Schizosaccharomyces pombe: one gene and its partners. The gene in region 4 interacts genetically with the main gene of each other region. Each region holds a gene or a part of one and is shown on either strand. Other genes may lie near its edges.

What was found.
Region 1: mutations in mms1 (region 4) and pcn1 impair growth when combined (synthetic growth defect), as found in Schizosaccharomyces pombe (one study listed by BioGRID).
Region 2: mutations in mms1 (region 4) and apn2 are lethal when combined (synthetic lethality), as found in Schizosaccharomyces pombe (2 studies listed by BioGRID, with this or other methods).
Region 3: of mms1 (region 4) and swi1, a mutation in one rescues a mutant of the other (synthetic rescue), as found in Schizosaccharomyces pombe (one study listed by BioGRID).

Annotation. Positions count from the first base shown.
Region 1 is NC_003423.3:3,615,012-3,618,385, forward strand, and holds pcn1 (DNA polymerase delta processivity factor), read left to right. Parts: upstream 1-1,583; 5' UTR 1,584-1,673; coding exon 1,674-1,754; intron 1,755-1,863; exon of another isoform or gene 1,864-1,865; coding exon 1,866-2,567; 3' UTR 2,568-2,834; downstream 2,835-3,374. Other genes in the region: heat shock protein Hsp104, read right to left, coding at 1-65.
Region 2 is NC_003423.3:1,285,777-1,290,609, reverse strand, and holds apn2 (AP-endonuclease Apn2), read right to left. Parts: upstream 3,222-4,833; 5' UTR 3,205-3,221; coding exon 2,412-3,204; exon of another isoform or gene 2,375-2,411; coding exon 1,596-2,374; 3' UTR 1,460-1,595; coding exon of another isoform or gene 650-1,459; 3' UTR 516-649; downstream 1-515. Other genes in the region: U3 snoRNA associated protein Dip2, read right to left, coding at 1-46; SUMO-targeted ubiquitin-protein ligase E3 Slx8, read left to right, coding at 650-1,459; DNA polymerase epsilon subunit Dpb4, read right to left, coding at 3,665-4,005, 4,044-4,162, 4,295-4,467. UniProt on the Schizosaccharomyces pombe protein: DNA repair enzyme that cleaves apurinic/apyrimidinic (AP) sites and removes 3'-blocking groups present at single strand breaks of damaged DNA. Provides the majority of the AP-endonuclease (APE) activity. Repairs phleomycin D1-induced DNA damage.
Region 3 is NC_003423.3:908,732-916,404, reverse strand, and holds the start of swi1 (replication fork protection complex subunit Swi1), read left to right. Parts: upstream 1-1,625; 5' UTR 1,626-1,811; coding exon 1,812-2,759; intron 2,760-2,775; exon of another isoform or gene 2,776-2,834; coding exon 2,835-4,802; 3' UTR 4,803-4,879; coding exon of another isoform or gene 4,880-7,673. Other genes in the region: TORC1 serine/threonine protein kinase Tor2, read left to right, coding at 1-1,134; ATR checkpoint kinase Rad3, read right to left, coding at 4,880-7,673. UniProt on the Schizosaccharomyces pombe protein: Forms a fork protection complex (FPC) with swi3. FPC coordinates leading and lagging strand synthesis and moves with the replication fork. It is required for programmed fork-pausing which is necessary for mating-type switching.
Region 4 is NC_003424.3:593,390-599,522, forward strand, and holds mms1 (E3 ubiquitin ligase complex subunit Mms1), read right to left. Parts: upstream 4,138-6,133; 5' UTR 3,889-4,137; coding exon 1,511-3,888; exon of another isoform or gene 1,471-1,510; coding exon 1,382-1,470; exon of another isoform or gene 1,343-1,381; coding exon 588-1,342; 3' UTR 512-587; downstream 1-511. Other genes in the region: SPOM_SPAC3H8.04 (chromosome segregation protein), read left to right, coding at 1-370; inositol phosphorylceramide synthase Aur1, read left to right, coding at 5,527-6,133.

The DNA of each region.
Region 1 (3,374 bases), on a different chromosome or scaffold from region 4:
TGTGCAATTGAGTACGCATCAGACAATGTCTTTGCGGCTTTGTCAGTAAAAGGATAATCAGCCATATCGAGTTATATTATTATAGGAATTTTTATAATTTATAGATAAATCCAAAAAAAAGGAATTGTATATTTGTCGCTCGTTATAAAACAAAAAAGAGAGAGTCGTTGAACGGTAAATATATACGGTTTTCAGTTCGATTTAATAAGAACTTAATATCGTTATTATAATAAATTCTTCGGTTATAGATTGATGGTTGAGGATGCCGCAGGTAGAGAAGCTGTGCATATATATACACGATGATGTTACTATGGGAAGGAAAGGAACATACCAGAAGATGCCAGTTACATTGTTACTCGAACCTACTCCTACACTCTAGAAAAAGAAAGGGATAAAGTAGGGTAAATCCCAAAGACATGACTAGAAGATTTAAAAAAATAAGAGAAAAATAGCTTAAAAAAAAACCGGTGTAAATTAAAAATGCAGTTACCTTAAAAGTCTTTGAATTGTCTTTAAACATGGAATACTCGAAACCCGGAAATGATCTGCGTATTACGTAGTGTATGGAACAACGTAAAGACGGATACTAACCTCAACTTATTCTCAATTGCATCTTGCTAAATACCGTTAGAATTCATCAATGACTGAATAAATAATTTTTTGATACATAGTTCTTCTATTACAGAGATTCTAGTCATATTTCCAAGCTATTTCTAAGATAGAGCTCTTACATTACTTATTCTATACGGTAGCGATTATTCGTCGTAATGACATTTAACGAACTTTAGTTACTTGACCATAGTGGTTTATAAACTAAACAAACCAACAGTGAATTCTTGTTAACGTAACTGTAATCTACGAATATTGAGAAGAAAAAAAAACGAATGAATTTGTTGTGAATACATATTTTTTCCTTAGCGAACAAGTATACTTCATTCTTATTTTCATACCTCTTTAGTCTTATTTAAACCAGCAATAAAATTCGTTTTAAGTTTTCCGTGTTAATACCAATTAAAATAACGTTTTTTTCAATCATTTTATATGTCATTGCAACGTGAAAATAAGTTAATAAATTTCGGTAGCAGCTAATATGGAAAATGTACAATTTACTTGATACATTAGTGTAGCCTAAATTTTATTTGATCCTGGAAAGTATATTAAGGTAGAACGCGAAAGCTCTCCTAGTTTACGCCGTAAATTGTAATGACTCGCTGATTACATTTGGCTTATTATAATCCGTATAGCTAGAAAATTTCGATAACTGAATATTGCTTCTTTAAAAAGACATAAATAGAACCGTGAATTAGTACAGCAAACGAAAGATAAAAATTTCATAGTAACATGCAAATACTATTTTTTCAGTTAGTTTTCCATAATTTTGTATAATATTTCATATCAAACGCATCTAAAAAGTACGGACGAAATTACTTGCTATTGTAAAAATAAAAAAAATAACAAAACAAATTATAATAACGTGAACTGCTATTTTGGTCTCATATATGAAAGGTTCTTGAGATTTTTTACGTTGTCAGCTAGCAATTTTACGCACACTATTCTGTGCTACGCGCTCTTTGACTACTTCCCAAAAGCCAACTACAAAAGGTTTTTGCAGTAACCTTTGTTAGCTATTCTTTATATCTCTTATCTAGCTTGTATAAAATATAATTACGACTATGCTTGAAGCTAGATTTCAGCAGGCTGCTTTGTTGAAAAAGCTTCTCGATGCCATCAAGGAGTTAGTTACAGATGCTAATGTATGTAAGGGGCAGCATATAAATAAAGATGCTCAACGACAAAGCCTTTCTTTTTTTTAAAAAAAATATATTTATTAACTTCTTTTGAATGATTCTCTAACCTCATAACAGTTTGATTGCAATGACAACGGTATCTCTCTGCAGGCTATGGATAGTTCTCATGTAGCCCTTGTTTCTATGCTTATTAAATCAGATGGATTTGAACCATATCGGTGTGATAGAAATATTGCTTTAGGTATAAATCTGAACGCCTTATCAAAGGTCTTACGGTGTGCCCAAAACGAGGATTTGGTTACTTTAAAGGCTGAAGATACACCTGAGGTATTGAATTTGGTTTTCGAGAGCGAGAAAAATGACAGGATCTCTGATTATGATGTTAAATTAATGGACATTGATCAAGAACACTTGGGTATACCAGATATCGAATACGATGCTACTATTACTATGCCTGCTGCCGAATTTCAACGCATTACTCGAGATTTATTAACTTTGAGTGATTCAGTAACAATCAATGCTAGTAAAGAGGGTGTTCGTTTTAGCTGCAAGGGAGATATTGGTAATGGTAGTACCACGCTGAAACAACATACCGATCTTTCTGACCAAGATCAAAGTATCGAAATTTCTCTTACCCAAGCTGTAACACTTACGTTTTCTTTGAAATATTTAGCCCAGTTCACTAAGGCTACTCCTTTAGCTACCCGAGTCACACTTTCAATGAGCAATGATGTTCCACTTCTTGTGGAGTATAAAATGGAATCCGGATTTTTACGATTTTATCTTGCCCCAAAAATTGGTGAGGAGGATGAGGAGTAGATTACGGAATCAATATCTTTTAGTAATCTCTTTGCAATTGACGAGCTAGCATCATTATAAACATACTTTTGTTTACTTTTTAATTCAACCTTTTTTGTACTGCTCCTTCCCTAACATTCATATCCAAACAGGCAAAATACCAGCTTTTACTTAAAAAAAATCAAATTCTTTAGAACCAACAAACTGAAGGGTAGAAAAACTTGTGTTCTTAGTGATGATTTTTCACAGATAACTTCGTAATCATCTGCTGTAGCTTGTTGATTTAAGTCTAGTACATGATATAATACATTGATATGTAAATTAGCTTAATTCTGAGAATTTATTCTAACTGATAATTGTATACTTATATGGCTAACCGCGTAAGAGCCTCGGAGGGACAGTTCGCCCAAATACTACCAACGCTACCACCAGTAGCAGCAAGGCGTAAAAGTTACTTAAAGAAGATAGAATTCCTTACTCTCTATACTGCCAACTTTTCGTAATAATTTATATATTTTACTATTTGGCTATATTTGAAATTTTTAGCGTTGAATATACTATGGCAGGAGATAGTGTGAAAAGTGCAATCATTGGGATTGCTGGGGGTCCTTTTTCTGGAAAGGTATTTTATTAAAATATTTTTTTCTTAATTCTAATACTTTAATACTAGACACAACTCTGTGAGCAATTACTTGAACGTTTAAAGTCATCAGCACCTTCAACTTTTTCTAAATTGATCCATCTTACTTCATTTCTTTATCCCAATTCTGTCGACAGGTATGCACTTTCCTCTTACGATATTGAAGCGTTTAAAAAAGTTCTTTCTTT
Region 2 (4,833 bases), on a different chromosome or scaffold from region 4:
CACCAAAAAATTCGGTTGGTTCGTACCGCGTATAGCTTTTGACCATTGCGTCTACCCAGACCTAGATTAAAAAAAAGGCGTTGGTTGATGCTAAGTATATACACTCCTCTAATATTCAACAATTTGGAAAAGAAATAGCGATATACATTGTTATCGTTTTTTTATTTTAGCATTCCTTAATGCACTCCATAATACATTTTTGCATAGTTTATGGAATACTCATAATAATGTCGGTTGCGCAGTTTAATGAACTGCATTGAAAAGATTATTGATACACAATTAAGTTTTACCAGCTTTTCTGTTCTCTTTTCTTATTTGAAATACCGCTTGCGCTATTGAATGTGCTCATGAAAAAGGTCATAAATATTAATTAGACTAGCATCTTACAACATTGTGGTAGTGAGCCAATTTTTCCATGTAGACTTCAAAAATCATAGGTCTACTAAATTTAATTTTAAACTTGTTGGCAAGTTGCCAAAATAATTGCTGTTTGCGTATATTGACGTTAACACAATTCTCTTTTATTATTCTAGCAAGCCTGAAAAGCATTTGACAATCGATTAGGATACGATCAAAATTATCCTAATATTAGCCCATTAATCAATAATCTATAAACTATTTTCGAATTTCAGGACCAATTGGCAAAAAAATGCCACCCGCACATAAGAGAGATACCAACGTTAGAAACTTATCTGCACCATACAATATCCCATCTCAATCCGCTAGAGTCGCAGCTGGAAATGCAGCAATAAATAGGAGACGTTCTTCTCCAGTAGAGAATTCGCCAGGAAACGGATTTCCGGTTTCAGAAGATGCAACAGACTATCCTTCAGGCACTACCTCTGAGAATGAGTCTTTACCACTGAATCGTGCACCAAGGTCGCTAAGAGAGGTTGCTTCGGAGCTAGCACAAGAAGAAACACTACCTGTTGAAACCTCTGATTTAAACATAGATGTGGAAAGTGAAGTATTCGACTTGGAAGACATTAATTTTCAGAATGATGCTGATGACATAAATCAAAGATTCACCTACAACAATCATCCAGCTTCCGTTGAAAACAGTTTAACAAATGTTAATAGTATTCACGCGCAACCTACTACTATAAGCGATATGATTGATTTAACTGATGAGACTTCCTATGATCCAAGAAAACAAAAATTTGAACAGGGAAAGAACCCATCGACCACCAACGCCGAAATTGAAAAAGAAGAACCTAGCAAAAAACAGGTTGTTCCATCTTCACAACGACTAGCTGATTATAAGTGTGTAATTTGTCTGGATAGTCCGGAAAACCTATCTTGTACTCCCTGTGGGCATATATTTTGCAATTTTTGTATACTAAGTGCTTTAGGTACAACGGCTGCCACACAAAAATGTCCGGTGTGCAGAAGAAAAGTACATCCAAACAAAGTTATATGTTTGGAAATGATGCTCGGATCTCAAAAAAAGAAATCTTAACCGTACAAAATTCCGTATATACATATTAAGAATGTTAATGAAAGATGTGTGATGCACTGCTCAATGCTTTTTGCGGTTTATACACATCAAAATTGAGAATTGATTAAGAGCAAGTTATGCTAGTCATTACAAATTTTCAGTCCTTTGAATTTGCTCTCCAATCTGAGTCCCAGATAAAGAACCTGCATTGGAACGGTTGAGTATCTTCCTCAGAAACTGCATTTGAGTTTTTAATCAGTTCACCAACCGGTCTGGCACAAATCCAAAACTTCCGCCCGTAATTGATTCCCGGCTTCCTCACTGTCAAATACTTGCAAGGTTCCTTGTGACCCTCACAAAGTGGAGGAGCTCGTTCACTGAATATTTGCTTCCAGGCGTTCCCGTTTTCTACTTTTTTTTTTACTGTCAACCCTATGTCAGATTCATTATTGTTATCAAGGACCTCAATCGAAACGTCTTCTGTTTTATTGGTTTCTTCTTTCTCTTCCTTTTGCTTCGCAAAAAATGAAAGAAGCTTCGATTGTTCTTTTCGTCTTCTCTTTTCCGGTGGGTAGGCATCGACGTCTATGACAGAGTTTGCACGAGAAACAGTTGGTGAGGAGCCGCTGGACGCAGAAGCAGATACGTTTTCGCTCTGAGTGGGTGAGTTGTTTTTATTCTTTTTCATCGAATTGAAATGTTGGAACATTGAATGAATATTTTTTGATGGCCGATAGGCTGAATGATGCGCCGTTGATAGTAAAGGTGGTTCTTTTGAGTGACTTAGAAAGTTGGACAACTTTTTTCCTTCATATTCTTCTTTTAAATCTAAATATACGGGGCAATGATCTGAACCCATGACCTCAGCCATAATATCTGCATCTTGAACCCAAGGTAATAAATCGGGTGTTGCCAAAGTGTAATCAATTCTCGTACCTATCCATTGTAAAAAAAATAACAATTCAGAACTTACCATAATTTGTGGGCCTTGTATTAAGTCTTGTATTCCAACATGTAAACATTCCTTTCCGAGTAGGATGTTGAATACGGCCAATGTCCAACAGTAGTCCCAACCTGCTTGGTAGTAATAAATCACGTATCCATTGTCTTGATTCCATGATGCTTGGAATAAGACTCTCTCGAATAATGTCTTTTTGATCAGCAGTGTCAATAGGATTACACAAAATATTCACATCCCCAACGAGAATGATTTTTCGATTTCCTTCCTTTATCAATCTTTCAATTCTTTCTCGTAAGGCTTTATAAAAGGCCCGTCGATATTCTAGTCTATTTTCTCCAGAGTTTACTGGACAGTAAACACCGATTAGGATGAACATCTGAAAATCTAATAATATACACCTTCCTTCACTATCAATCCAATTAGCAGTTTTTCTGTCAATGTCTTTTGGGAAAAATCCTATCTTTTCATGCTCCGGTGCTTCTGAATATGAATATTTTTGTCCTCGTACTGGCAGGATGCCAGTAATTCCCTCTTCTGCTTTCACTGGAATAGCAACATCTTTTTTTACATAAAATCCAACCCCACTATAGCCTTTTCTGATCTTAGGAAATGTAAAATAACTGTCGAATCCCTCAACAACTGCATATTGTTGAGGAAAGCTGTCTTTCTGCATTTTCAATTCTTGAACACATATTACATCAGCCTGTAACTCTTGAAATATCTCTTTGTAGGAATTTTTTTTATTCCATGGAAAATAATTGAATGGATTCTGTATACCGTTCACATTCCAACTTAGAATTCGCATTCTTATAATTTTTACGTAGAGAAAGTGTGCGAAGGTAAAGGCGACAGACTTTTGAATTTACAATTGTTGACATAAGTTAATCTGATGGAAAATAAAATGCATTTGTTTAATTCGAGAATGAACTTTTTCTTTTCTTTTCGACCTTCTCCCTATTGAATGTTGATTTTCAAAAAAATTCTAGATTGACTAATATTGAGTTACAACTGTAAACAATCTAATGATTCTTTCTAAATATATGTCATTAAACGAGTATACATGTTGTGCTAGAAAGACATTATCTCAAACTGCTGTTTAAAAAAGCTATGTTTGGATACAAGGATGTAAATTGGGGTATTAACAGGTATCCAAAAAATCCATTAAAAAATAAAGAAGGTTTAGTTTTTCGTGTAAAAAAATATGATTAGCTCTCCATGTAAGTTAGGACTATTGACAATCTTCATATACATTTAACCAACAGTAATTACGAAGAATCATTAAGTTGAAGAGATTCTTCTGAGTCGGATTCAGAGCTATCTTCAATTGGGTTTCCCGTAGCATCTGTAAGATGAATGGTTTCTATTTGAGGAGATTCTGCGTTTGCGTCTAATGTATCATTCACTTCTTCGAGGTCCTCCACATCATCAATATTTTGCTCAACTTCATTTTGTGCTATATCCTCCGCAATTCGTTCTTCTTCTAATTCGTCTTTTTCTTCATCTAGAGGAGTAGTGTCATGCGCGTCTATTTTGGCTTTCTTTCTGTTATCAACATCTGATACGTTAGGGAGTTTCAATCGTTTTTCTTTCAAGGCAAGCTCATATGCTTTAATAGTTAGAAGAAGTACAGAGTAAGAAACATACCTTCGAGATGTTTTTTTAACGTTTTAGAGAATTCTGGATACTCAATTTCATCGAGCGCATTCAAAACGTCTTGAGGCATAAGAATTTTTCTGTTATTATTCGTAGCAATTTCCCCAGAACTAAGTAACGTTAGTCTTTATTCATTCATATACAAAGTGTTTCCAGAAGAAAATAAAATTGGCAATTATATAATAAATTCTTTCATCATACAAGCCCTTCAATATGGTTATATAGTTATATAGATTACATACGCGGATGTTAGAAAACTAACAAAAAGAGTTGCTGAATTGATCATAGCCTTGAGAGCTTCTTTTTGTACAAGACTCTTTTCAGGTAAGACACCTTTGACTAATCGCATAATGATCGATCGAGGAAGCGCCAGATCATCCAATTCGGAAGTTTCTTTCGATTTATCTTGATTCATATTGATTTTCCAGCCGCTAGATCTTTTACAAACGCTGTATACAAGTCTTTTATAAATCCAATCCAAATATCATCCTATGGTCACCAAACGATAATCACAGAGAAAGGCGGTTGCTTCTTTTTAGCTAATTAATGTATAATAAATTCACTGAGTCGCCTATTTCTGTCAATTTTCACTAAACACTATCTGTGCGTTATGAGCAGAATCCGAGAGAGCCTTAGAGTTGAAACATTTGTAGAAATGCTATCAAATTTCTTAAAACTAAATAGTTGTACTGTTTTGTTTATATTAAATGAGTAAAAAAAAAAGTTTTTTAGCGTTGTTAGAAATAAATAAAGCTTTTTGATAACCATACAATACATTATT
Region 3 (7,673 bases), on a different chromosome or scaffold from region 4:
ACATTCAACGTGATAACATCTAAGCAACGTCCGAGACGACTGAGTATTAAAGGCAGTGATGGAAAAGATTATCAATATGTTTTAAAGGGTCACGAGGACATCAGACAAGATGAACGTGTTATGCAGCTATTTGGGCTTTGTAACAATCTGTTACTAGCTGACCCGGAAACTTTTAAGCGCTTACTTTCAATCCAAAGGTATCCAGTGATTCCTTTATCACCGGATTCAGGCCTTTTAGGCTGGGTTTTGGATAGCGATACTTTGCATGTCTTAATTCGTGACTACAGAGAAAGCAGAAAGATTTTACTCAACATAGAACATAGGTTGATCATTCAGATGGCTCCAGATTACGATCGTCTCACTCTCCTTCAGAAAGTTGAAGTCTTTGAATATGCCCTACTTAGTACTACGGGGCAGGATTTATACCGCGTTTTATGGCTGAAGAGTCGTAGCTCAGAAGCTTGGCTTAATAGGCGAACTAACTATTCTCGTACTCTTGCGGTGATGTCAATGGTAGGGTACATCTTAGGTTTGGGCGATCGTCATCCTTCCAATTTGATGCTGGACAGGTATACAGGTAATATCATCCATATCGATTTTGGAGATTGTTTTGAAGTAGCAATGCATCGAGAAAAGTTTCCCGAGAAGATTCCTTTCCGCCTTACGCGAATGCTTGTTAACGCAATGGAAGTTAGTGGTATAGAGGGGACGTTCCGGATAACATGCGAACATGTTATGCGAGTTCTTCGTACTAATAAGGAGTCTGTGATGGCAGTTTTAGAAGCTTTCGTTTACGATCCTCTTATTAACTGGCGCCTTGCTCCTGCATATTCACCTTCTATCGATGAAAAGCAATCTAACGAACCTAATACACTTCTCGGTGAGACAATTGATGGTTTACACCGGAAACGCTTAAACGAAGAAGGAATTACACTTGAAGAACGTCAAAAACCCGAGATACTCAATCAAAGAGCTATAACCGTTCTTAATCGTGTGTCCAATAAACTTACTGGTCGGGATTTCAAACCCCAACAGCAATTGGATGTACCAAGTCAAGTAGAGAAGCTGATTTTACAAGCAACCTCTATAGAGAACCTATGCTTGTGCTATATTGGCTGGTGTAGTTTCTGGTAGGTGACAGTCCCAAACGTTCAAATTGCTTTTCTGCCGCATCATATATATATTCTATATTAAATAAAGTGTAAATAGTCTTTATGAATGAGTCCTGTAACAATTTATTACGTTGTTTTACAATTTTACAAAATAGAGGAAATGTTGAATTTGACGCAGAATTTTTAGAATTTTGTAGTAGAGAATGCATCTCTTTATATTGTTATTAAAGATTTGCTGCTTAATCATTCTGAAAATAATAAACTCTAAATTTCTACATCTGAAATTGTGAAAATTATTGAAACTAAATTCTAATTATGCATTGTACAAGTTAGGTAGCAAATTCGTTTTGTTGAGTCCATATTATCGAATTTTATAATATAATACTGAATGCCATTTTAATGCGATTTAAATTATAAAGTGTTTTACTTTACACACATTTTTTTAAAAATCCAAGTTATTTTGAAAAGTTAAATATTGTTTTAAAAATTTATTATTCATTGTTTACTGTCACCACCCCTCTTCACGTATCTACAATCAAATTTACTTATCTTAAAAGAATACGATTATTCATGAACATAATTAATATCGCTTAATTATTAAAATTTATTTAATTTCTTAAATTTGGTTTATTTATCGACGCATACCGACAATACAAAAAAAAGGAACTTGAGAGCTTTTGATTTAACAAATCAACTTGAATGGAATTAGATGAGGTGATTCAAGGCATTGTTTCTGCCATTGGAGGATTTGACTATTCAGACGATGAAAAAGTGTACGTTCTTGGTGATGAAGCTTTGGCTTGCCTAAAGGATCTGAAGCGCTATCTTCAAGTAGTCGATGAAAAGTACAAAGTTTGGCAAATTCGATCTTTGCTCTCGAGCTTACAGTTGGTAACTAATGATATATGTCCAATACTCTCTGACTGGGATAAAGACATTACTAATTACAGAAACTGGCGTATCGCTTTAGCTTGTGTTGAGCTTCTTGTACCATTAACATGGCCTTTGGAGACTGAGCATGAAACATTCAGAGAAAATGTTGATGTTCTCTATAATCTGCGTCAAGCTCAATCAAATTATAAAAATTCAATTTTATCTTACAAGAAGGGGAGCGTTTTATCCGCCATTTTAGCTGTTTTACTAAAGCCCTTAAGTACTCCCGCAGAATCCAGAACACTTAGAGACAAGGGAATAATCAGGATAGTGCTGTTACTATTTCGAAACATTCTTCAAATCGATGAATTAAAAACAAAAAATGAAACAATTATCTCGTTTGCGAAAGCTCATATATTAGATTTGATTGTCACACTGGTCTCGAATCTCGATGAATTTGAGCATTTTGATGTTTACATATTAGAAATAGTCTACAACTTGATCAGAGGTTGTAAGCCATCAGCCCTTTTCTCTGATGCCTCATTGACTAACTCTCAAACCGAACTTAATAGCTTACTCCTCAAAGAGTCGACCCAAAATCGCTATTTGAAACGAAATGCACATACGAGGCATAATAGATTTGGAACCATGCTTTCTGTTCAAACTGAAGACAGAAGATTTACTATTGCTAGCCAAAATATAAAAACCGACGGCCTTGATGAGCTTGACTCTCATAAGCGTTTTCGAAAACGAGGAACACGTCGAAAACATTTTGTATGTACTTAGTTAAACACGATGTTTGTTTAAATTTTTTTTTCCAATTCAACTATTCTATTCTAACAATATTAGGATGACATAAACAAATCGTTCTTTATCAATACCGAGGCAGGTACTGCATTAAGGAACTTTGCTGTCGAATTTTTGGAAGCTGGATTCAATCCATTATTTCAGTCTCTCTTAAAAGACTTGGAAAGAGAAGATCCTCGTGTGCTTCCAATTCATAAAATGCAATTATTATACGTTCAGTCATTTTTTTTGGAATTCATGAGATTTTCGTCTAAACCAAAAAAAACAGAAGAAATTTACTCTAATGATTATAGTTTTGGCTTAGCAGCCTCCGTTTTTGACCAACGAGCTTTGATTATGCACAACAGGTTAATGGTAGAATCCTTTGAAATGAAACAATGGAGCACCTTCCAAGCATCCATGCTTTCGATGACTCAATTACTTTTCACTCTTCGAAGTATGACACTTTGTTCCTCAGAAATTTACCAAAGAATTGCCGATAATCTACTAAGCAATATCTTTTACCAAGAGGAAATTCTTTTACTTGTTTATAGCGCTTTAAAGCATTTTAAAACTCAGTCCTTTGGGTATTTAGATGCAATAACTGAGCTAACTATAGTGCTATTAAAGGAGCTTGAGAAATTTAGCAGTGCTAAACAATATCTCTATGTGAAAAAGAGAAGGAGAAATCAGAAATCTGTTGATAGCAATGTCTTGGAATCGGATGAAGATGAAGAAAGCAGCTTGATTAATGCTAATGCAGCCGTTGAGGACCGTCTGTTTGATTTCGGCAGATATGAGTCTAGGTACTGTGATAATGGATGTATTGATAGTTTCGTGCTGTTCCTTCAATGTTACCAAGATCTGGATTCAAAACAAATTCATAGGGCTATTTCCTTTTTTTACCGCATTTTCGTGAAGCAAAAATGCCATGTTTATTTGTATCGTCTCGATTTCCTACGTGTTCTGGACAAAATGTTTAATGACCATGTCTATTTTTCTACTACAAATTCAGCAAGACAGGATTTTGAACAATTTTTTGTATATTATATGCGAAAGCTTTCAGATGCATTAAAAGATGTACCAGCACTTTTTATTGAGTTGCCTTTCCCAAAATTAACCGACACATTTTATTATCTGGAATATGGAAAAAGTCCACTTTTCTCTATTCATGGTTCGAGAAAAGGCCCGTTATACGAGACGGTGCCTGGCTTATCACATTTGGAAAAGGTGGCTGCCGTTGTTGCATGCCTTATAAATGAAAACAAAAGTGATTTATTAGATGAATTGAAAGTTCAACTTAATTGCCTCATTTCAGAAAGAAAGCTAATAACGCTAGCTGACGAGAACAAATATATAAATGAAGGTGGAAATGATGGTGAAAGAATGGGGAAGAATTTGAAAGGAGACACAGATTCATTTAATACGGCCCTTTTGAAAGACGGAAAATTTCGTCTATTATTAGAATTATGTGGATTCGAAGAATCAGATAACAATATAGACGTTCAAGCACTATGGAAATTACCAAATTCTGTTATAATTGATGAACTTGTTGAGCATGCCATGTTGTTGAGAAGGTTTACTGATGATCCGCCGACGTTTGAAGGCACCAAGCCCGAAGATTTATTAGTGAGGAAGCAAAGAGGAAATGTTCGTTTACCATCAAGTAGTGAGGGTGAAACATCTGACGAAGAAATTGAATTTGAAGCAGATGATCCTATAACTTTCGCCAATCGTCGAGAAGCGTTAAATAAGATTACTGACAGAAAACGTAAAAAGATGAAAACTAACGAAACTATTATTGACCATACAACTCGAAAGAAAAAGGAAAACCATTTACGATCTGCAAAATATATTGTTGATTCGGATGATGACTCAGAAACAGATATAGCTTTTTTTCAATCAGAAGCTGCTTTACGAGAGAAAAATGCACAAAAAGCCAGTGCCCTATTTAAGCGAATCGACGATTTAGAAATGGAAGGAAAATTACAAGAAATTGAACAACTCAGCGAGAATTCTTCATCGGATTAATAAATAAAATATCTTCGATTCAAATCATAAGTTTAATAATGGGTAGCTTGTTCATTGAAATTTTTGTTAGTAAAATGCTAGAAATAAGCAGCCCAACCAATGTACATTTCTACCAGGTTTTTTGGGTTGACAGCAGATTTGATCAATTCTTGAATTTGCCCTTCAATAGATAAAGGTATCGTCTCCCCTGGCATAAAGCCTTGAAATTTTTTGCGAATTATATCCAAAACTTCATTTGCTTCATTATTCGGGTACTTGCTTGACGACTTCTTTCTATTCCACTCGACTAAAGGATCATGTAGGAAAGACTCTAGTACGCTCATCAATGTATCTTGGTTTGAGCGAAGAAGCCGCATCGTTATTTCGCTAGCTTTCCTGAAACCCCCTTCATAACCTGTCGGACCCATTGCATCTACCATATTATGAGTTAATCTGAACGGCACCTTTTCAGGTTTTTCAAAAGTAAGACCTTTATCAAAAAGACAGTTGAAATCGACATGGATAGCTTCACCTGTAAATTCATCAAACAATATGTTTTCGCCATGGCGATCTCCCAAACCCAAAACGTAGCCAACTATTGACATTACTGCTAAAGTTCGGCAATAGTTTTGTCTACTAGTAACCCAATTATTTGGTTCTGGGAAAGATTCAACAAACCACTCATAAAAAACTGGAGGAAATTTCGGTAAGATTTTCTTTTCAAATATATCACCAGGGTTAGGACTTCGCAGTGCAAAGTCTAAATCAACTTTGATTTCTTGATATGATATGGGAATGTTTTTCTGTCTATAGCTTTTTAACAAAATTTCTCTAAATGGACGAGTATGATTTACCCATTCGATAAATCCGCATTCTTCATTTAAAGGAATAACAACATAAGTTCTAATACACAAGTTCCTTCTGTTCGCTTCTTGATCTTTCCTCAATATTTTACAAATAAGATTATTAAATTCCATCAATCTAGCATCCTTACGAAGATCATCTTTGGGTTTGCACAAGAATGGGTATAAGTTGCCATCCGTACCTCTAACGTACACTTTTCTTGGTTTTTGAAGAGAGTTCATTATATCCACCTCATCCTCAAATTTCAACAGAGTAGGCTGAGTTTTTGGAAATGGATAATGACTAGCTCTGTTAGCATCTTTAGCTGGTAAAGTAATGTCTAAAAATGATTTAGCAGGAATGACTAAATCTACCGGATCATCAAAAGAAAGCCGAAAATGATCCTTTAAGCTCATTTTTACAGATTTACTGTTAATCCTTGTATTGCACAAATTGATTAACTTTTCAGTAATGAGAATTGCAGATTGACTGAGTGCTTTTATATCAACTTTGGAAGACATAGAAAGCTTCCTAGAATGTAAAACATTTAAAATGCTTTTTCCACGAAGCGAGCGCTTTTGAGAAGTCGATTTTATTGTTGCCATTAATTGCCATAGCGTCTCCCCAGGATAAGATGCTACAACGTTTGCAATTATATGTTCCAAAATTTTATAAACTTTATTATTTGGATGGCATACTCTGGATATCATTTGGGATAATGCAACCAGAAAAAAGTATTGAGGAATTTTCATAGAAAGGCGACAAACATTCGAATTCATAAGTTCCAAAGATTTTTTTCTCGAAGAGATAATGTGTTCACGAAAGTACTTTTCGCCGTCATCTTTAGATAAGCGAAGTTCTTCGGCCCCAAAATCAAGCCACAGTGTGAGCAATTTTGGCATACTTTCATATATATGATTTGTACCATAGTACAAAGATCGACCAAATTCGTTAATTATGCGAGTTACTAACTCACCACTTAAAAATCGTTCGCTCTGTTCATTAACTGGGAGCTTTTGTTCTTCTTCATACATTAAAACTCGATGATGGCCAAGATAATAATGCGTATTCTCACATTCTGAGTAAATCTCTACCGCTTTATGATAATACGTCTCCAAATCCTTCAATCCCAGTTGGCCAGCTTTTCCGAGCCATTTTGTAAGTTTCAAGAACACTTTTCCTTTAAGTGGATTTCCTAAAGTTTCTTTACGATTTTTAGGTCTTTCTTCATGCTCATCAACCAAATCAAACATGTTGTTATTAAGCGAAAAATTCAATTCAGAAATAGCTTTACGATGTTGCCCTTGATGCCACCACCATTGTGCGTGCTCTATTGTTGCTAGCGGTTTATCTAAATCCATTGCTTTGAGGATGGCATTGAAGGCTCTTTGAAATTGACCATTTTTTCGAGATATTCTTGCAATCTCGAGATATATTTCAGCAGTTTTCTTCGTGTTTTCAAATTTTTCATAGCCAACTAAGTGAGTGGACAGGATTTGGTGCTTGAATTTACCGTACGGAGCTACTTGGCTAAGCCGACGGCGAAGAACAATATCAAGATTGTCGGAAACAATTCCGTCAGTTTCAGCAATCCTACTAAAGTCATTAATTGCGTGCAGCTTAGATAAAATATCATAACAATCATAGGCTGAATGGGCGCCTGTGTTTGCAATTGCTGTAGCAGCATCAACGTACAAGGGTTGCAGCCGCTCCGTCAATTCAGCAAAAGAATCCTTCCGTAGGTATTGGTAAAATATGCTACCCAATTTAGCTTCGAAAGATTCCAAGTTGCTTTTTGAAAGACACTTTTTTAACGAATCAATAGATAGCGAACGCCATGAAGCTTCAATACCCAAATTTAACATCTTCGAATACTCGTGGTTGTCATTGATTATAAAAGAATCTAAACTCAAAACAAGAGATTCATAATGCCCCGATTGCAGCATGCTGTTAAGCAAACCGATTTTCGCCTTTTTATTTTCAGGATCCTTTTGAATAATAATTTCGTAACAACTCAAAGCCGAGTCCCATGTTCCTGAATTTTCATGT
Region 4 (6,133 bases):
CAAAGTCATGAATAAAGGCTATCCATTCGGATATAGAATTCCATCAGTTGGGCAATTACAACTAATACTTCGACAAACTAACGGTTTAGTCATTAAAGTTTTTTTGGTGCCTTATAATGTTTCAAGTATGGTTGATTGCTCTAAAACCTGGATTCGCCAGAAACATTATCTTCAGCAACTAGACGATAAAAGTGGGAAAATTTTAAGTCATTTAAAGTTTGGATTACAGTTACAAATTATTTGCACTTCTGCAGGACACCATTACCTTTATGACTCTCAAAGAATTATTTTTGTCCAGCAATCTTTAGGCGGGTTATATGGGAACACGAAGATTGTGAATGAAACACTGCTGTCAGAAAGTTGTCGATAGCTAGCCAACTTTTTACTGCTGACATGTAAAGATTTATTGACTTATATAACTCTTTTTTAATGAAAATTAACATTCATGCGTTCCAAGTTTATATTAAATTAATTTAATATTATACTCTTTGCTTATCTACGTCATTTAAAACCATCCAAAAATTGTTCATTAGTATTGCTCTGATAAATTTATTGTTGTAAATTGGAATTTCTAATGTGTGATAACATTAAGTATCAGAATAGATAATTGTATCCGACGAAGTCGGATCGTTAGGCATTAAGATCTTGAAGATATTCCCATCTAAAGTACAACCCATCAATCCCCAAACAATATTATGATTATCTTTATCCACCCGAATAACTGAATACTTTAAATGGTTAGTTAAGGCATTTGTTTTTGTTTGAGACACTGTAGTAAGAATTGGCTGGAGCATTTGTTCTCTGGTAGACGTGCAAACTTCACCCTCAACTTTGAAACAAGTTAATAACCGGTCTTTGTCACAAGAAAACAATAATTTTTTTTGTGAAATGTAAAAGCAATCAATGCCTAGTCTCGATGATGTGTCGCTGCAAACTAAATTAAGGGAGTTGTTTTCACTATCATACTGGAACACGGCAACAGAATCTCTTAAACTAGAAGTGTACACATAGTCCTTATACGTTGACATCGATACAATGGGAGACCGAACAGGTAACTCACAATCACTGTTGCAAAACTTCTTTGAGTCTAAGTCCAACATCTTTACACCAATCTTTCGTCCTGTTGCATAACACAATCCATGTTTTCCGATCGAACAAACGGAATAAATAGGGTCTTTCATATTAATTGTGATGACATTGCGAAGTTCTATAGCATTGCTGTCATGATCTTTATTCATGGTAAGAATTAACAAACGACCTGTAGTTAATCCGTTTTTTCGTACCCCTGTTCCTATACAAAGGTACCTATATTTTCTTTTTTGATCGTCGGCTACAATCCAAACTAAATAATCGTTAGGTGATTAAAGTAAAGCTAACTTACAAGACATAGAATATAATAATTCCTCCGGTTTGAATATTGGTTTACCTTTAATATCCATTGAAGGCCAATTGACAGGGAAAAGTCGCGAGCTGTGTAATTGTTAGTAGGCACTAGAAACACGTAACTCACTTAGTCAAGTCGTAAAAAGCAAGACCTGAGGTTGTAATTTCATTTACTAAAACGTGACAACATCCAATGATTAAAGTGTTCGTATATTTATCAACAAGTAATCTCTTGGGAGTTGCTGCAAGATTTAGTTTTGAAGAAAAGGTTCGCTGTGGAAGCCAAAGTTCCGATAGGTACAAAGTATTATTCGAATAATACACTATGATTCTTGATTCACTGTTCTGGAACTTATTTGGAATATCGTAAATACCAGAAACACAAGTAAAACTGTCATTTACTTCAAGTATCTGGTTCAGCGTAGGTTGTTCAGTTTCCATATCGATACCCACTATATACAAATAGTCAGACCATGCATAAATTGTTGAAAACTCATCGGAGGGTGACTGTAACGTGAGTGGTAAGTCTGTTGAAATAGGATTAGAGTAAACTTTAAAATCCGGTACTCCCTCTAACGTTAGAGTTACATAGACGGTTAAAAGAGTAGAGTTGGATGAAATCAATACATAAACAGCGCGGTTTGATTTTCTCAAATACGATATGCTATGAGGAAGGTATCCAAATTGAAAACCTGTTAAGGGGACTTTATAGACACTAGAGTGTGAGGTTTCATCATAGAAAACGCATTCAAAATAAGGTGAAGGATGAACCAGTATCACCAGTAGCTTTCTTTCCAAAGAAAAGGAAGTAATACAAGTAGGGACATCGTGTAGATCGAAGGAATCCGGAAGCGACTGAAGTTCAAGTGTACCATTAGAAAGAGTATTTAGTTTTAGTGTAAGCAATTGACTTTTGAAATTCATTAAATCTTTTTTAACGATGAAAATTAATTCGTTATAAGCAGCCAAAACAAATTCTTCATCTCCTGAAACCTCAAGAAGGTTATACTTTGTACAACTAGGAGTAACAGCATAAATGGATTTTCCCGTAATAATGATAAACGTATTTTGGTAATTTATAACATATAAAGCTTTTATATCATCCAAAAAAAGACTTTCGGTAACATCTTCGACGACCCCATCGAGATGAAGCCTTAAAATTTGTGTTTGCCAAGGATAAGTTAGCCAAGCGTAAAATTCAGAGTTGTGGTTAGAATTTATAATTCCTGATAAAACAGCTCCCTCAGTTAATATTGCTTCAAGCAAAGTAGTGGATGAGCACCCGTAACGCATTGTGACCAAACACCCAGATTTACCAATGCCAGCAGTAGCATAAACTGTATTACAATTGATGTCTTCATCCAACAAAGTGTTATGCCTTGATGAGGAATACACAAAATCCCACATTGGAGCGCAAGCAATTAAGCTACCAAAAAAGGACATAGGCGATACCGAAACATCATACACTAATGTATCAGAACAGTCACCACAAAAAACAATGTATGGATAACAAGGTAGTATCAAATTTCCTAAAGAAGATCCAGTCTTTCCAATTAAATTAATATCAATAGACAAAATAGAGTAACGAATGCGATACAAATCTCCATTTTCGTAGGTTAAATAGCAACAATTCGGAGTTTCGTTATCATTTGCAATAGACAATGGATAATTATGTGAACCGCTGCATGGAAGATCGGTCTGTAAAAATTTTAGATCCCCACATTCTATCTGTGGGACAGAAAGCAGACAAATCTTTGTCTCCAATAATACTAAAAAATGATCAGGAATATTGGAGCAAGGGATAATATGGGAAGCAAGAGAAAATTCGGATGGAACCGGTATTGAGAAGGTTATGTAAGAACTAGCATCAGAAAAGGTTTCCGTCTTAGACCACCTATAAACATTGATTCTAGGATTCGAATTTGAATCTAGAAAAAGACAAACATACGTAACACAAGACGAAGAGGATCTTTTTGGAGGTACAAATATGGTATGAAGTATTATTCCATCGATAGAAAGTTGAGCGAAGACTTGCTTGCTTAAGGAAGGATGATGTGAAAAGAAAAATACAATATCACCAGCAAAAGAATTAGTAGCCCACAAGGAAGCATTTGGGCATAAATCAATTGATTTTCCTAATTGTTCATGGTTGTACATTCGAGTATCAAGAACGAATTCATCTCTAATACGAATCGTCGGAAACGCTTTTTCTGGTGTTTTGACGAGCTGCAACAAGTAGCATTTTCCGTTTTCAGTAGCAATTAAAATATTCGCTATTGAATGTCTACCTGATTCTGACTGAAGGAAATGGCTTGATAACAAAGCAACAGACCTCGTTCTTGCAGGCAACGTGAATCTTTCAAAAAGTAGTAAATCACCAGATCGCTTTAAACTCACAGAAGCTACAGAGGAAAAAGATCCAAGTAAAAGGAGAGGAGCACCATCATATTCGGAAACATGAAAAGCCCAGGTGAATACGTTTGAATGATGAATAATTTCTGCCATGAATTCACAAAGTTAAACGCTTGGAACCAATTTAATTTGATTAGAGTCAAATTTTGATAGAATAGAAAAAGCTATTAGTTAATCGTATGCATCAAAGAAATTAGCAAATACGGAAAAAACATTAAAATCAATGAAAATAGATATGTACAGGTTTAAATATATATAACGCCCTTATTTAGAAGATAGATCCTTACGAGTTCCTCCAAATGTGAAAGGATTATTGACAACCAACCATGGCTTGTTCGAGTTAATATGTTGGGTTGTGTTGAATGTATGTAAGAATATCCATCGTTGGAATTTCGAGAACCTAAGGAACACAAAAATTAAGATAACAATTAATATGCGATATATGATTTTGATTTCTAGTTAACAAATATACGATTTGGTTTCATCTTTAGAGAAGTGTTGTCTGACCTACGACAGTTTGAATTTTCTACGGCCATTTAAAATCAATAGCTTAATGATGTCTTTTTTACCTACGTGAAAGAATTATCAACAGGGTGCTAATGTATACATTCAGAATCCAAAGAAAAAGGCTGTGAAAATGCAAGTAGGCACTTTTTGTTTTCCTAATTAAGAAATCGAAAACAAAAATTAGTACTTCCAAATAGATTTACATTGTTTTAATGTTGTCAATTGTCATTTTGAATGCTTAATTCAACAGATATAGACGGAAGTAAAATTTGAAGTATTAAAGAGTGCATAAAACTATTCCTCCTAAATATTTCGTAACATTGCTAAGTTATTGAATATATAGACCCATGCTTAAGTACGTGTCCTAGATGCGCTTAAGGTATTTAGTTACAATAATATATTTGCTTCATCTGATACTACCCTCAACCGCAATGTTTTTATCTTATTATATCGAAATTCATATTTTATTTCGCTAAAATTGTTTCTGATTTACTTTCCGCTTTCTCATTTCCGTGCAGTAAACTTGGATACGGTAATTATATATGGAGCTTAGTGTCTTATTGTTTAATAACGAGTCTTAGCTTTCAAATATTTTATTGGCTGCCGTTGCCGAATAGTGTTACCTGAGAAGGAATATCTTCCAATTACCTAGAGTTTCGAAATAACGTTGTTTTCGCTAGGCTATCTTGTGTTGCGCTACAGTAACACCACTTGCCAAACCTAAACAAATACTAGCCGACCGTACCATTCTCAGCTCGCCACTACCAACCTCTAAAGAACCATTTATACGGGGCAATTGAAATCGACTAACTCCAATTGTATAGTTAAATTGGAGTATTTTGGTTTGTATTTGCAACCAAAGGTTTTTAAACTAGTATCTCTTTCGGAGAAGCTTTTTTGCCTCTGCAAAAGTTCCTTTCTCGAATTGGTTTTTTGAGGAAAAGCAAGTTAATAAACTAATTATATTATATATAATTAGCAATTTTATAAAAAAAATAAAAAAATAGCCCTGATTGCTGGCAACTGTGAGCTGAACATTGGTTAATCGGTCCATCTTTTTTTAAATATTTTACATCGCTACTTTTAAGTGCTTGACACTTGCATTTAATAGCTACTTTCTTTCCTTCATAAAAATTCCTTTTTTTTCCTTTAGTTTTCCGGTTAATTCCTTACGAAATTTTTTTCGTACGCTTCCCTTTTTTACTCTGATAATTCTTTGAAGCAATGTCTGCTCTTTCGACCTTAAAAAAGCGCCTTGCTGCGTGTAACCGAGCATCCCAATACAAGTTGGAAACAAGCTTAAACCCTATGCCTACATTTCGTTTGCTACGCAATACGAAATGGTCATGGACACATTTGCAATATGTGTTTCTAGCAGGTAATTTGATTTTTGCTTGTATTGTCATTGAATCTCCTGGATTCTGGGGGAAATTTGGCATTGCCTGTCTTTTGGCCATTGCGTTGACCGTTCCTTTAACACGCCAAATTTTTTTTCCTGCCATTGTTATCATCACCTGGGCAATTTTATTTTACTCTTGTAGGTTTATTCCAGAACGCTGGCGTCCACCCATATGGGTTCGTGTTTTACCCACACTTGAAAATATTCTTTATGGCTCTAATCTTTCTAGTCTTCTCTCGAAAACCACGCATAGCATCCTTGATATTTTGGCCTGGGTTCCATATGGAGTCATGCATTATTCGGCTCCTTTTATCATTTCATTTATTCTTTTCATCTTTGCACCTCCTGGAACTCTTCCAGTTTGGGCTCGAACTTTTGGTTATATGAATTTATTTGGTGTTCTTATCCAAATGGCTTTCCCCTGTTCTCCTC